4 linked regions of the Danio rerio genome follow. The protein of the gene in region 4 interacts with the protein of the main gene of each other region in a biochemical or structural test. Links are inferred from orthologs where the notes say so. Each region holds a gene or a part of one and is shown on either strand. Other genes may lie near its edges.

What was found. The genes of interacting proteins can lie anywhere in the genome.
Region 1: the proteins of atr (region 4) and atrip form a complex in vitro, tested with the Homo sapiens proteins (4 studies listed by BioGRID and IntAct, with this or other methods). The link is inferred for Danio rerio from reciprocal best matches to the Homo sapiens genes ATR and ATRIP.
Region 2: of the proteins of atr (region 4) and chek1, one has a biochemical effect on the other in vitro, tested with the Homo sapiens proteins (7 studies listed by BioGRID, with this or other methods). The link is inferred for Danio rerio from reciprocal best matches to the Homo sapiens genes ATR and CHEK1.
Region 3: of the proteins of atr (region 4) and abl1, one has a biochemical effect on the other in vitro, tested with the Homo sapiens proteins (2 studies listed by BioGRID, with this or other methods). The link is inferred for Danio rerio from reciprocal best matches to the Homo sapiens genes ATR and ABL1.

The regions. Positions count from the first base shown.
Region 1 is NC_133197.1:10,191,086-10,195,022, forward strand, and holds the start of atrip (ATR-interacting protein), read left to right. Parts: upstream 1-1,137; 5' UTR 1,138-1,334; intron 1,335-2,980; exon of another isoform or gene 2,981-2,983; 5' UTR 2,984-2,995; coding exon 2,996-3,296; intron 3,297-3,701; coding exon of another isoform or gene 3,702-3,767; intron 3,768-3,937. UniProt on the Homo sapiens protein: Required for checkpoint signaling after DNA damage. Required for ATR expression, possibly by stabilizing the protein.
Region 2 is NC_133196.1:24,017,262-24,021,545, reverse strand, and holds the start of chek1 (serine/threonine-protein kinase Chk1), read right to left. Parts: upstream 2,801-4,284; 5' UTR 2,571-2,800; intron 2,352-2,570; 5' UTR 2,344-2,351; coding exon 2,279-2,343; intron 2,194-2,278; coding exon 2,038-2,193; coding exon of another isoform or gene 1,970-2,037; intron 1,063-1,969; coding exon of another isoform or gene 998-1,062; intron 884-997; coding exon of another isoform or gene 870-883; coding exon 814-869; intron 1-813. UniProt on the Homo sapiens protein: Serine/threonine-protein kinase which is required for checkpoint-mediated cell cycle arrest and activation of DNA repair in response to the presence of DNA damage or unreplicated DNA.
Region 3 is NC_133180.1:78,512,065-78,516,237, reverse strand, and holds the start of abl1 (tyrosine-protein kinase ABL1), read right to left. Parts: upstream 2,801-4,173; 5' UTR 2,007-2,800; coding exon 1,871-2,006; intron 1-1,870. UniProt on the Homo sapiens protein: Non-receptor tyrosine-protein kinase that plays a role in many key processes linked to cell growth and survival such as cytoskeleton remodeling in response to extracellular stimuli, cell motility and adhesion, receptor endocytosis, autophagy, DNA damage response and apoptosis.
Region 4 is NC_133177.1:18,755,501-18,758,872, forward strand, and holds part of atr (serine/threonine-protein kinase ATR), read right to left. Parts: coding exon 3,232-3,372; intron 869-3,231; coding exon 763-868; intron 1-762. UniProt on the Homo sapiens protein: Serine/threonine protein kinase which activates checkpoint signaling upon genotoxic stresses such as ionizing radiation (IR), ultraviolet light (UV), or DNA replication stalling, thereby acting as a DNA damage sensor.

The sequences.
Region 1 (3,937 bases), on a different chromosome or scaffold from region 4:
ATGTTTTCATAGATACATTAGCAAAGATGCTAAATATCTGTAGACACACTACTGAACAAAGCTGCAGATAGTATTGTTTACCTTAGCACACTGTAGCCTATAAATATTTTTTATGTCTATATAAATTAAGGTAAGGCAGCTATATTTAGCACACTTATTACAGTTTGTAACATGCTAACTTAGCTCATATTTGTTAACTGCAAAGGTTTTGTCGTATAAAAAAGATCTGCTTGTTGTGATCACATAAAAATGTACACAATCATTTGTTCTCGTCAATAAATCGTAATAGTTGAAATAATAATAGTTCCAACTTAAAACAGCAGCAACAAAAACACTCCGTAGTTACATGCACACATTGTGTGAGATAAAAAAGTATGTTGTTCATAGCGAAGATGCTAAATCTGACACAATAGCTGTAGACAAATCTTTAAAGCAGCAAACAGATTTCACCTTTTATTAGTTTATTTCTGTAGCCTAACAATGTTATGAAGTCTAACTATATCATTTTTACATCTTTTGTTAAAAATAAAGCCTTTCGCAGCTATTTAGCGCAATTATTACAATTGGTTATAACCTGCATGCTAACTTAGCTCATAATAACTGCAAAAGTTTTGTCGTATATGGTGTAATCACATAAAAATGTACCTGCTGATTTTTAGTGATGATTTTGCTTAAAATGTATCAAAAATATCACTAAACACTATTTATTTTGTGTGTGCACCTTGTAAATATATTTTTAATCTTACTCATACTACTCTGCGTCAGTGTTTTGTTGTGAACTCATATTTTTCCATTTAAACTAAAATAATACAATCTTGAAGCCTTGCGATATGTTTACTACAGGTACGAGTATGTATAAGCTAAATGGTGAAGAAAACGTTTAACAAGCCCAAACTTTTATAAACACATCTTGTTGAACATGTTTAGACAACTTCCAAATCACGGCTTTGTGCAAGTTTTCTGAATCAAAATGAATGGTTCAAAACGCATTTTGTCGCAAGAGTGTCTCCGTAATACGTGCGCTACTCCTTTGACGAATCAGAGCTCACCGCTACACACTATGGCAGTGGTTTAGCCAATCAGGTGATGTTTTACTACCGCGTACGCTTTCGTCTGGCCGCATGGACACTCCTCCTCGCTTGAATGAATACCGAACCTTCAGAAATGCCTCCAACTTTTCCTCTTTTCGGTTATTTGTTTGTTTGGTCAACTACTTTTATGTAAACATTTCAGAATTGCACTTTATCTGGAGTGTTTACTTTTGGTTTGTCATGTCGGTGATTTGACGGGCAGTTGCAGGTTATGCAGGAATCTGAGGAGCGTAAATCAAGCAGGTGACTGATAAACTTGAGCACTTTACTACACCTTTACCATGTTAAAATTGGAGTCTGGAAGAGCATTGTGTGTTAGTTTGTTAGTCCGGTAGTAATGTACACTTTATAGGCTGAAAAATAACTGGATTTTTGACCAGTAAGTGAGTGTTATCGTATTAAAATTGTCACATGCTAACTGCTTGATATTAATGAACTGGCACGAACCGTACTGTATGTCAGGGTTTTGCAGTCTTTTATATGTCACGGACATCCAAACCCAAAATGTAAACTACATATTTGTAGTTGCAAAATACATTTATACTGCGAAAACTAGTGTTAGATAATGTGTCTAATGTTTTTTTCTAAATTATTTATTTTCTGCTATAATTTTTTGCAGATTATTAATGAATTCGTTGTCCTGGAACTGTTTTAATTGTTACATTTACAGTTTAAATCAAAAAGCTTGTCTATTTAATTGAAATAATTAGATGGATAGGTTTTTAATAAATATAGAAATGTGTGTTTAAACATTTATTTATATTGTAATACATATAGACATGTTACCCTGGATGTTATGAGGCTAGAATAAAAGCAGTTTTTAATTTTTTAAAAACATTTAAGATCAAAATTATTAGCCCCCTTAAGGTATATATTTTTTCGATAGTTTACAGAACAAACCATCATTATACAATAACTTGCCTAATTACCCTAACCTGCCTGATTAACCTAGTTAAGCCTTTAAATGTCACTTTAAGCTGTATAGAAGTGTCTTGAAAAATATCTAGTAAAATATTATGTGCTGTCATCATGGCAAAGATAAAATGAATCAGCTGTTAGAAATCAGTTATTAAAACTATTATGTTAAGAAATGTGTTAAAGAAAAATCTTCCATTAAACAAAAATAAACAGAGGGGCTAATAATTCAGGGGGTTTAATAATTCTGACTTCAACTGTACATTTATAGTGGTGGTCATGTATAAACAAACATTGTACAGCTTATGCAGTACTATTTATTATAAAACAGGTGAATTTACTAAAGTTTTAATCACTTTAAGACATATTTATCCAAATTTTTCCAAATTTAATGACATTCCATTAGTGACGATCTGTCCCTCATTTGCAAAGACAGTCCTGAGTCATAAGCAGTCACCTGCCAATAGATGTAATATAGACGTGGTGTTTTAGGATGCACAAATGAAAACCGTAGATGACCATAGGCATTTGCAGCTCTGCCCACAATTGAAAAGAAGGCTATCTCACTTGAATTTAAAGCAACAGTCAACAAAATATCACAATTTGGATCGAAGTCTAAAAAGGGCAGTTTAAAAGAATTATTAGTGGGGTATTTTGAGCTGAAATTTAACACGCTCTAGGTCAGGGGTGCCCAAACCCGGTCCTGGAGGGCCGGTGACCTGCATAGTTTAGCTCACACTTCCTTCAACACACCTGCTTGGAAGTTTCCAGTATACGTATAAAGAGCTTGATTAGCTGGTTTAAGTGTGTCTAATTGGGGATAGAACTAAACTCTGCAGGACACTGGACCAGAGTTTAGGCATTCCTGCTCTAGGGGTGTCAGAGACCTATCATCTTGTGAAAAGGGGCATAAACATTTTCTTTACTACACTAATTATTTGCTGAACATTAACAAGGTTTTATTGATTTCCCAGCAGGAGCTCGTTGACATGGACTTTCCCCCGAGCAAGAGACTGAAGGGCCCTCAGGTGAAGACTGGACCCGACCCGTTTGACGATGACATTGATTTCACCCAGGATGATCTGGAGCAGATTGATATTATTGCGTCTCAGGCCATCAGCGCAGACGTCCAGAACAGCGGCTCTAAGAGATCTTTCGACGCTGTGCTCGCTTGCGCTGATGAACCGAGCAAAGCTCCAGTGAGGTCCGGGCGGAAAACATTCGCCCTTGGAGATGCCTGCAGCAGCAGCACTTACAACAACACACACGCTCAAAGGAAAGAGCCTTCTGGTCAGTACTGGATGTTTCTGTTGCACTGTACACAAGTTTTTATATGTCCCATTGGGTTTTTGCAGTTGTTGTTGTTAATTTAAAAAACAAAATTAGAGACAGTTTAAAGAAGCAATTTAACATATTTGTTTGTTGTTTTGTGTCTTGTTAGTGGGCTATTATATATATATATATATATATATATATATATATATATATATATATATATATATATATATATATATATATATATATATATATATATACACACACAGAATTTACATTTCAGCCAGCCAGCCAGCCTCAGCACTTCCAGTGAATTGTCTTTCCGTTATAAAATTGCCATGTTTAAGGTCTGGGTCAGACTGGACAAGAAGCTCAGCATTAAATTACATTTCCTCTCGCCATGTCTTTAAAATATAACAGTTTATTCAACCCCAGAAGTTTCAATGGAGTTTCTGCACTCACCTGCTGACCCTGACAGCGCTAGAGGTTACACAGTCTTTCATCTTGTTTTACACTTAAACAACTCATGCCGAGTTCAGACTGCAAGATTTTAGCCTCGATTTTGACTCGCTGGCAGGTTTTGAGAAATCGCAGACAAATGCCTGAAATCACAGGCAAATCGATGTTCGTTCACGTGAGTAACAATCACAGTGTGA
Region 2 (4,284 bases), on a different chromosome or scaffold from region 4:
CCAGCTCTCCAAAGCAGACTATATTGCAATTTCATATCAGCACATCGATAATAAAATGCTTTTCTGTGTGTGTTTGTGTCATGGATATTGCTGCTGAATTTATCTGTGAAGCTGGAACTTCTGCAGGTTTCACCAAGTTAAATTTAAGACTTTTTAAGACATTTTGACCATTATGTACAAATTTTAGACTCATACAGGGCTAAACCCTAAAGAATTTTTTAAATGGCCCAGATAAAAAAAAATATTTATTTTTGCACTATAAAAAATTATATAATTTAATAATACTATGATAATTGAATAACAAATTTAAATATCTATTAGCAAAATATTGTGTCAAAACAAGCAAGTTCTAGCTGCAAACACTCTTTTTTTCAACATAGACTTTCTGAAAAATGGACAAATGTTTTAAAAGTTATTATAATAAACTAAATGTATGCAAAACAGTCCATCCAGGTTAGTGTCCTAAGCAGTAAATACAAGTGGAACTTTTAAATAATAATAATTATTATTATTAGGAAAATAATTAAACAATTATGGTAAATGGAGTTAAACAGGACATTTGTAAATAAAAGATGGATTGTTGGTGATTATATGGATGTTAATGGCCAGATTGGGTAACTATTTATAAACAACTGAAAATTAAGACCTGTTTAAAAAGATTTAAGACCTACAACACAATATTTTAATAGATTAAAGACTTTATGGCCTAACATTTAGCTTTGGAAATTTAAAACATTTTAGGACTTTAAGACCCCGCGAACACCATGTGGAACATTGCATTTTATCCTGTATAAAAATACCATTCAGACGTACCTTTATCATCAAGAAGAATATTCTCAGGCTTTATGTCACGATGTGTAATCCCAACACTGTGAAGATATTCCTGTAAGTGAGATGGAGCAAGTTTCACAACAAAGTCAACTTTGAAGAGTAAATGGTTCTCAAAATACACCATAAAAAAAAAAAAAAAAAAAAAAAAAAAGATCACAAATCTTACCACACCAGCTATCAGCTGCTGAAAAAACCTGTGCGCCTCCTTTTCTGGCATCCCAACATCCGGTTCTGTCAGAAAGATTGACAAAATATACTTTAGATAAATTTTAGGTATTTTAATGCCTTTATTTTAATAAATCAATTCTGACAAGAAAGCAAAGGATGGGAACATTTGTTTTTTTTACAGTTGATTTACTCACAGGGCTCAACAACAAGGACTGCCTGATGGCCCGGGGCCAGCGTGAGAGACACTTGGGATAGTAGACAGGATCATTACGATTGGGAAAGTGCTGCCTTGTCACTAAAGCTTAATTGACCTGCGATTATTGGTCAAATGCAAGCATTTTAAGTTTGTGTTTTTAAGTCTTTAAATGCTACCTTTTCTGTGATGTCGTAAACACCATATTGTTTTTTGGTTGCTCTTATCTGATTTTGTGTATTGAGCATGCTATATTTTTCCCCATAACCTGGTAACAACCAGTGGTGAAGTGACAGCAACATCAAAATATAAGGATAAAAGAAAATGTCTGTGTTTAACATCTTAGAAGCAGACATTTACATGGGTACAACATGAGAAAAATGAAGTAATGTTTTGCACAATTTGCCGTCAGTATTACAAGTCGGCCACCATTTTTTATATAATTTCAAACTGCAATAAAAAACCTGCACATTTTCCGTACTGCTCTTTTTGTTTGCACAACACTGAGAATTTTGCTCATTATAAATATTTATTTTCTAGATTCACAGACATTATTTATGTCACATTATTTAAAATATGTGGCTAAAAAAAAGCTATTAACTTCTCTTTTTTGTTTTTGGGCCTGTAAAAATTTTTGTCAGGGCAAGTAAAAATATGAATCATTGGCCCGATCAGACCAGTAGAAAAACTCCCCAGCGTTGAACCCTGACTCATCTACACGACTCAAAAACAAAAAGGATGCAACAATTATTGAATGAACCCAAAATGTTCAATTACCTATTCGGTCAAAGAGCTCTCCTCCGCTACAGTACTCCAGAAAGATGTACTGTGTCGTCCCCTCACTCCTGTGCCCAAAGAAACGTACAATGTTGGGGTGTGAAAGCATCTTGCATATGCAGACCTCCTTCTTCACATTCTCGATGCAATCCTTGGCTTTTGCCATGTCCACAACTTTCACCGCCACAGCCTCTTCTGTCTTCTTGTTGACCAGCAGTCGCACCCTACAATGATTTGAAGCAGATTAATACAATTTTAAGACTGCAACTGATCAAGATGGAACGAATATGAAGTGCATTGGTCACTTACTCTCCATATGCTCCCTCTCCAAGAGTTTGTACCACATCCCAGTCTTTAACAAAAGGCACAGCCATTATGCAATCTGTGGGCATAAGTCAGTCAGAACAACCTTGTAAAAGCAAATCAGCATAACAAGCTAATAGACTATAACACTTACAGGACATATGTTAGTTTTTAGTAAATAAATATAACAGTAAACATGATAAATGTTACGGGGCAGGCAATTGTAAACAGTGAAACGTCAAATCTGATAGCTTTGGGCTGTCGGATATTAGTTTTAATTTAGCTAAAACAAACATACCTTCGCGTATATCAGAGGTAACGTTGTCCCATGTGAAGCGGTTTGTTAATGTAATTTGTTGTTATAATCACACACCCCCTTGATAAGTGTCTATGCAGACATAATAATACAAGAGCGTCTGTCCAAACTTTGGCGCCTTCTAGAGACGTGACATCATCGGAAATGCTAAGAGGAAAGAATTTTCAAAATAAAAGCTTAAACCGCTAACATGAGGGACAACTTTTTGCGTTATTCATTCATTCAATTATTTTCTTTTCGGCATAGTCAATCTTGGGTCGCCACAGCGGAACGAACCGCCAACTTATATAGCACATGTTTTACGTAGCGGATGCCCTTCCAGCTGAAACCCATCACTGGGAAACTTTTTAGCATTATGTTATATAGAATTATTAAGAACAACCACAACATGCGAAATATAAAAAAAAAAGAAGAAGAAGATTTTTATATCCCTGTTGTGTTTCTTTCATTTGAATTGTACTGTAAAAATATTTTTTGATTTAGTTTTTTATAACTGTCATATTAATGTATACAACAGCAGTATTTAACATTAGCTATATAAGCAAAAGATGAATATGATAAGTATTTTATGCGTTTTACGTTTTCATGTTATTATTTATAAATAAGAAGAACACAAGAAATAATCATGAAATAAACCGTTTATGTAGGGGCTTTTATTTTATTTTCTAACATAAAAGCCCGTCAATAAGTGGGCAAAAGTTCACGGCAGTAGTTTATTTCTAGCATTTCGATATATTTAAAATAATATTTTACAATTATAAGCTAACATAATTATCATCATCATCACATAACTATAGGCGCACATGGGAGGCGCAGATAGGCTGATGCAAAGAGCATAGAGTGATTCTAAGCTCTTTGGCTGATGTATCGAAGTGGTCCTTTTTCGTTGTTATGGCAACATCACTTCAGTTCCGTAAACACAACTTCATTTATTGAGTGTTAGACGGTCGTTTCTAAAGCTGTCTTGAGTGTCAGAAATTAGTAAACCATTTAAAGGGTAAACCTAAATAAATAAGGTAAGAAAAAAATTAACAATGTTGACAGCCCAAAGAAGCAGGATTCGGTGTCGCGAAATTACTGGACCTGCACATTCAGTGGCATTGGTGAGTTATTTGTGTTGACCATTATTAACGTTACATGTTTTATATTGAATATATTAACGTCATAATAATTATACAATAATAATTCTAATAGTCATATAGTAATAAATAACCTTACAATCAGGCCTACTATATCATAACAGACAGGCATATACTATACATTAATGTATACAATGATAGGCCTACTATTTTATAATATTATGCTATAGTAACTATAGTAAAACATTTTCATTATACATAAATTTTATGTGCCCAAAGAGAAATCTATCTATCTATCTATCTATCTATCTATCTATCTATCTATCTATCTATCTATCTATCTATCTATCTATCTATCTATCTATCTATCTTTCTATCTATCTATCTATCTATCTATCTATCTATCTATCAACATTAGATAGACATTAACATAAGTTTGTCTTCAGTAAAAGAGAGAAGGTAGAAAGATAGAAAAGACATTTATATGAATGGAGCTTTTATGAATTCACTCCAAATTTGTACATTTCAGAAAGCAAGACCTCCTTTATCCAGAGACATAGATGACATATTTGTAAGGAGAAGGAAGCAGGAGGCGACGCGAGGCGAGGTGCTGGAGT
Region 3 (4,173 bases), on a different chromosome or scaffold from region 4:
AACTGTCCAGCAAACACACACGCAGTCAAATTTGTGCACAGTTTCTGCGTTTTTAAGTAGTTGGAGCGTAGTAAATACTCGCGCTCGCCTCCCTCGCCATAGTAAGCTACAAAACATAGTGCAAATGAGATAAATGACATCAGTATATAGTAAGCGGTTATGATTATTACTCAACCGATACCAAATTTTACATTTACATTTAGCAGACGCTTTTATTCAAAGAGACTTACAAATGAGGACAAGGAAGCAATTTACACAACTATAAGAGCAACAATGAATAAGTGCTGTAGGCAAGTTTCAGGTCTGTAAAGTATAAGAAGGAAAGCATTAGTATTTATTATTATTATTATTATTTATTTTTTAGTACAGTTAGCGTTATATCCAGAGAGGCACTTGCAGATTAGGAAGGGAAGTGAAGGCTAAATAGTTGAGTTTTTAGTGGTTTTTTGAAGACAGCGAGTGACTCTGCTGTTCTGATGCAGTTAGGGAGTTCATTCCACCAACTGGGCAAATTGAGCGTGAGAGTTCGGGAAAGTGATGTCTTCCCTCTTTGGGATGGAACCACGAGGCGACGTTCATTCACAGAACGCAAGTTTCTGGAGGGCACATACATCTGCAGAAGTGAGAGCAGATAAGAAGGAGCAAAGCCAGAAGTCGCTTTGTAAGCAAACATCAGAGCTTTGAATTTGATGCGAGCAGCAACTGGCAGCCAGTGCAAACGGATGAGCAGCGGAGTGACATGTGCTCTTTTAGCTTCATTAAAGACCACTCGTGCTGCTGCGTTCTGGAGCAGCTGAAGAGGCTTGATAGAGTTAGCTGGATCTTTCTGATGTTCTGAATTGTCTGCATTTGCTTCGTGGTGGACTGAAGAAACAATTAATTTTGAAACTCCTATCTAAAATATATTCTTTTTAAAAGTCGGGATAGAAAACTTTTTTCCTCTTTGTACACAATTTATTTCAATTTGAGAAACATTTCAAGTATTTTGGAGCAGTAAACGTGAATTATTGACTTCTGCTGTCTTCATTAGTTTCAAAAGCACTGATTTCTTTACTATTTAAAACAGTGTCTTTGGAGATCTTTACTGCTGGAGATACTGTTGTCCTAAAAAAAAATGTAAATAAAAAATCTTTAAAATATTTATCTTTTAAATTTTGACGAATTTAAAACCCTGACTTTTCAAAACCACGGTACACATTGAACACGGATATCGTCCCATGCCTAATCTGGACACAGCCAGAATGAGCGCCTCCTCTGCCATAAAGCTAAATAAGAGTTATCATGCCAACTTTCTACTATAAACTGAAGCTTGCAACACCCAAGCACTCTTCTGATTGGTCCACTGCTGTGGAACTGACTGTGCTGTGTGTGAAAGTCGAAGACCTCTCAACCAGACATGGCGTTTAAAAAAACGAGATGCTTCAAAAGATGCAACGTAGCAGTCAGACACGTACGTCAAGCGTGTGTTTACATTGAAAAACAATAGTATAGTAGTGCACTATACAGAAAGAAAATGCATTCTGTGTGAACGGCCCCTAAGCAGTGCACAAACACTCACAACCAATTTATAACCATTCAAAAAAGGCACCTCGCACCATTAAAAGTGCATTCAGTGTGATCAAGGCCTCAATGTTATTAATTGTATTATTAATTCCAAGGCTCTGCTGGTTTTCCAGAATTGTCATAGCCAATCTTAACCCAATTATAATTGCTTTGGTTCAATTTATAATTTCCACAACCACTGCAGAGCCTCGGGGATCTCAGGCTGGCTTGGCCTCCCCCTGATCCTAAATGTTCCCTACTGATCATTCGTGAGTGAACTGCCCCCTTGAGTGATGAGTGAATGTGGTGTGCTGGATCTGGCACTGACCGTGGACCGTGAACACATTGCAGTGCGGTGCTCCGTGCCGGGGCGTCTCTCTCCTCCCCGCGGCCTTGATGAAGGGCAGTGCCGGCAGGCTCGGTCTCCTCTGCTCACCCACTAACTTTCCTGGCTGCTGCCCCATAAGAACACACAGCGCAGGAGATCAGCTGGAGGAGCCTGAAAACACACACTCCCCTGTGCCAGTCATGCATGTGCCAGCCTGACCGCAGATCAGATCCCCGCCTTCTAGAGGTTAGAAGTGTTTCTAAGGCACTGTGGGATGTATGAAGGAGTCATCCTCATTCACAGAGTCAGCATTAATGCATGAACATCACTGCTGACGAGCTGTCAATCATTCTGACGTCACGTCAACATCAAACTCTCAAAGGAGAAGATATCAGCACATCAGAGGGGTCAGTGATGAACTCAGACGCTCTGGTGTGCGTGAAACTCTCAATGATCATCATTATTAGAGTTATTATGATAATTATTAGCCACTGGAAGAGTCTGGGAGTGCAGTAAACGCGTTTGGTGTGATCGTGGTGTCATTCAGTAAGCAGATGAGACCGTGTTTGTATCTCCTGATGCTCATTAAAGTCATGAATAAAGTGTGTGGATCTCACTGAAGCCCTCCAGGCTCTTCTGTGCAGATTTAACTCTTGCCTTTGGCTGTGGTGTTGAGTTCTGGTTAGTTGGTAAAGTCTCGTCACTTCCGCGTGCACTTCTCTCTCTCTGAGGCGGATTTAAACGCTCCTCTACCCGCCGCGTGTCTCCGCTGTCGGGCTCTTCTGCTCACCGGACACCCGCTCGGTTCCCCCGCAGTGTTTTAATGCTGGTTCTCGTCATGTTTTAGTAATATTTCATAACTTCCAGCACTTTTCTTCGCGTCGTTCGTCGTCGCAGGAACCGCCATGTTCGCGCACGCGAGCTGCGCCCGTGACGTCACGCGCCGCGCTCTTCCGCCAACAAGCGAAAACTTGTATTTTGTTTTGATGTGAACGCCTTGTAAGAAGTGTTTACCTATTGTTGTTGTCTCTAATATGAATAAATAATAATAAACAGTTAAAAATAAAAACGCTGCGGTTCCTGTACGCAGAAAACATATATTATACAAAACTGTAAGATTAATGCTCTCTTTAACATTCCTAATTAAAGACTTCAAACTTAAAGTGTATATGACTTATGATTCTCTAATTCAACAATATTATTAAATAATATTATATATTAATATAACATCATTCTGAATCATACTAAATTATACCTGATTGATATTTATTTCAATAATCTATTAATACAAAAATACTTCAACAAACTCCAAAATAGCTTTAATTTGATGCAACAGCGTTGAGTTTTACTGTCTTAAATATCAATAATATTTATTCTATTAGTATATATTATTATACAACTATATTAAATTCGATTGTATTTACATAGCACATTTAAAAACAACCATCATTGATTAAAGCACATCATAATGTCAGCACATAAATACATAATTATACGGTTATAATTTACAGCAATTAAATAAATCTGCTCTTTATAATAAGTGCATTACTGCTGAAGGTTGCAGAAGCGTTGCTCTATAGTTGTAGTTGTGTGATCACTGAAGCCCCCTGGTGGAATAAACACACAGAGCAGCGTCAGAAACACACTTAAGGGGTCAGTTCACACAGAAATAGAGATCTACTTTCATTTTAATTCATCTTAGTCCCTTATATATCAGAGGTCGCCATAGTGAAATGAATCACCAACTATTCCAGCATGTGTTTTACACAGCGGATGCCCTTTCAGTTGCAACCCAGGGCTGGGAAACACCCATACACACTCATTCACACACACACACTCATACACTACAGCCAGTGTAGTTGATCAGTTCCCCTATAGCGCATGTGTTTGGACTGTGGGGGAAACCGGAGCACCCGGAGGAAACCCTCACCAACACGGGGAGAACATGCAAACTCCACACAGAAACACCAACTGACCCAGCCGAGACTCAAACCAGAGACCTTCTTGCTGTGAGCACACAGTGCGACACCACTGAGCCACCGTTCCACCCTAATCCTCATTTGCTCTGCTTCTAAACACCTATGGGTTTCTTCTGTCGAATACAAAATAAGATACTCTGAAGAATGCTGCCGCTGCCTTCAATAGCAGGAATAAAGACGATGAAAGTCAATGTGTGTTTCTCCAGCACTCTTCAGGTTGAGAGAATGATCAACACACACACACACACACACACACACACACACACACACACACACACACACACACACACACACACACACACACACACACACGCACACGCACAC
Region 4 (3,372 bases):
GTGTATATATTACTTCGTCTGTTCATAAAAAGAAAAAAATACTGTAAAAAACAAAAAAACGGGTAAATATTTTAAAAGGATGATAGCATGATAGAATGGTAAAATACAAAAGAATCCTGGTCAAAAAGGAAGGGTTGACAGGAATACCTTTAAATCTTTTAATATTAGGACACTAAAAAATACCCTGTGACCTTTGCACATCAAATACATTAATTTAAAATGCACATAGGCGAGGCAGTGGCGCAGTAGGTAGTGCTGTCGCCTCACAGCAAGAAGGTCGCTGGTTCAACCTAGGCTCAGTCAGCGTTTCTATGTGGAGTTTGCATGTTCTCCCTGAGTTCGCGTGGGTTTCCTCCGGGTGCCACGGTTTCCCCCACAGTCCAGAGACTTGTGGTACAGGTGAATTGGGTAGGCTAAATTGTCCGTAGTGTATGAGTGTGTGTGTGAATATGTGTTTGGATGATTCCCAGAGATGGGTTGCGGCTGGAAAGGCATCCGCTGCGTATAAACCTGCTGGATAAGTTGGCGGTTCATTCCGCTGTGGCGACCCCGAATTAATAAAGGGACTAAGCCGACAAGAAAATGAATGAATGAATGAATGAATAAAATGCACATAAACAAAGGCACTTGTGTACTTAACGATGGTTATGTCCATGTTATGTTTAGAATTCAATGTTTGGATAGCTGAACACAAAAGCATGCATGATTTACATTACACATAAGGATCCTCACTCAGCCTTGAGCAATTAACGGATGAAGTACCTTCTCATTGAGGATCTCTCCAGATTCATTGACTTGAGTCTTTGAGAAACCCTTCACAGGTTTACTCCACTCCACTAAAGGATCGTGCAGGAATGTTTTTAAAACGCTGGTTGGGAATAAAAAGAAATAATTATGCAGTTACAATAAAATACAAATACAGTTAGAAATTACTCAAATTAAAACACAACATAGAATAAAGATCTGATATGTTTTTTAAGCTTTCTACTGTACATTTTATAGTTCATGCAATATAATATATGGTAACAAATTGATTTTAATATCTAATTACACTTAATGACTGAAAGTGCTGAAAATTTGTGAATATAATACTACATTGCCATTACACCACTGCACAATCAACAAACAAAAAAAAAACACAGACAACAAAAATTGCAGACAAATGAGCTTATTTAACATCATAAAACAATAAATTAAATAGTTTTATGCACATATAAAAGATTCATTTATATGTGAGTAATGCTTTGTTTTATTAAGGTTGACAAACATGAATTTTAACTTACTAATGTTTTATTAAATGTTGAACTTTAAATAAATTCTATACAAGTATTGTTCTCTATTAGTTTCTATTATTGGTGCATTAAATATATTAACTAATGATACCTTTTTGTAAACGTGAGTGATTAACAAAACAGAAAAGGTTCATTTAAAATGTAACTAATATTATTTCCTATTATATTAAGAATATATATCTTAATAAGCGTGAGAAAAGCACCAAATCACAACTTCTTCAAATAAACAAGATAAATAGCCATATGTTATATCTTATTTATGCAAGGACATGTGATTTCAGTCTCTACATGGTCGTGCGATTACAAATTTCTGCTCTCTGAATCGCGCACAGTGGAGTTCTACACAGTCACTCTCTGCTGTATGGGAATGAGACTGCGTGCCACACCTGACAGGACTGAAAACGCACATCCACTTCCATACATTATGCATAGCCTACAGCAGCCAAACTTCATTCATGAGTGGGAGCACAATGCGCTCAGTCGCAGCAGCTAAAATATATACAGATGCGATGGGACCTCTGTTTAGTTATTTGGCGTGACCCGCGCGAGTGATGCATTCTTTGTTGTAAGTGCAGCCATTGTATCTCCAGTGCTTTGAGCTGCTGTGACGCGTTCTCCCGATCTAGCGTCTCATCCAACCTGACCTCTCCCGCAAATTTAAACCGGCCCCGTGACCCCCTAAAATGAGTTAAAATACTCTGAAAATCATGGCGACTAGAATGAATGAGAGACAACAGATTGCGAGAGGCACAGTTATGTTCTAAGCATTACATTTCTTCTAGGGGTGTTAAAATTAATTGTTTCTTCGGGGCACTGCGATGCAGATGGGGACAATTCGATATGGGTTCAGTAATAGATCATAACCGGTTATTACGTACTGACGTCATTTATCTCATATGCGCGATGTCGCAGTAGAATACTATGGCAAAGGAGGCGAGGACGACTAAATAAAACGCTCCAACTACTTAAAAGGGAGATATATATATATGCACATAATTTTGCCGCTATTTCACTACTAGGAAGAAATGCATCCCTGTCTCTCTCTCTCACACAAACTTTGGACATTTGACCCGCTGCTGTTTGTGAGATAAGCTTTCCACTTCACTTGGCTGTTAAAGCGATACTTGTAGATCCAGAAACGAGTGTGCCCGAGGTGCGAGTTTTCTCCACTGTGTCTATTACGTATTACCCATTATAACCACGTATTATGCAGATATAGACTGTAACCGCGACTGTTCTTCCCACGTGACTCCTTAATGAACAGCGCTTTCATTTATAGAGCCAAGCACAGCCCTTTATGTTAAGCAGGTGAAGACAATGACCATAAAGGTGTAAGAAAGCTCAAAATGGAAGCGGGATAATATTGACATTAGTTTATTTGCTATAAATGCTCGTGTTGTCTTCTGTGCATGTGTTGGTGTTTTGTTTGATACATTCTAAAAGAGTGTTTTCTTTTAACAGGTCAAATTAAAAGTGCAGTACATATAGGCCTATCTTACTGCTGGATTAAAGGAAAAAAAAATTACACAAATAATATATAAATATTAATGCATTTATGGATTTTAATTTTTTTAAAAAAGTTGTGTTGTGGAAAAAAAAATCTAATTAATTATGGAAAGCATCATCAATGCACCGTGATGCACCGAAATATCGAATTAAACCGAATCAATGGCGTGATAATTGTAACCAAACCACGAGACCAGTGTAGGTTCAAACCCCTAATTTTTTCTGTCATATAAATAGAGCAGTAAAGATATCGCGAGTGCAAATCCCTCTATCTCTGAGTGATCTGCTGTCATTAGTTAGAGACCAGCAAAAATTTGAATGTCCCCACCCCCCAAAAAACTGTTAACCCAGGGGAAACACTGCAGTCATCAAACTATTGTAATTTAAAAGTTATTGTATGATATGTTAAATTTAAAAGTTTAACAGTATTTACCTCATGAGCGGCTCCCGCTGGTCTCTCATGAGTCTTAGTATGACCTCACACGCCTGTCTGAACAGGCCCTCTGTACCCATGGGCCCCATTGCATGAACCATGTTCTGGGTGAGCCGGAAAGGAACCACCTCAGGAACATCA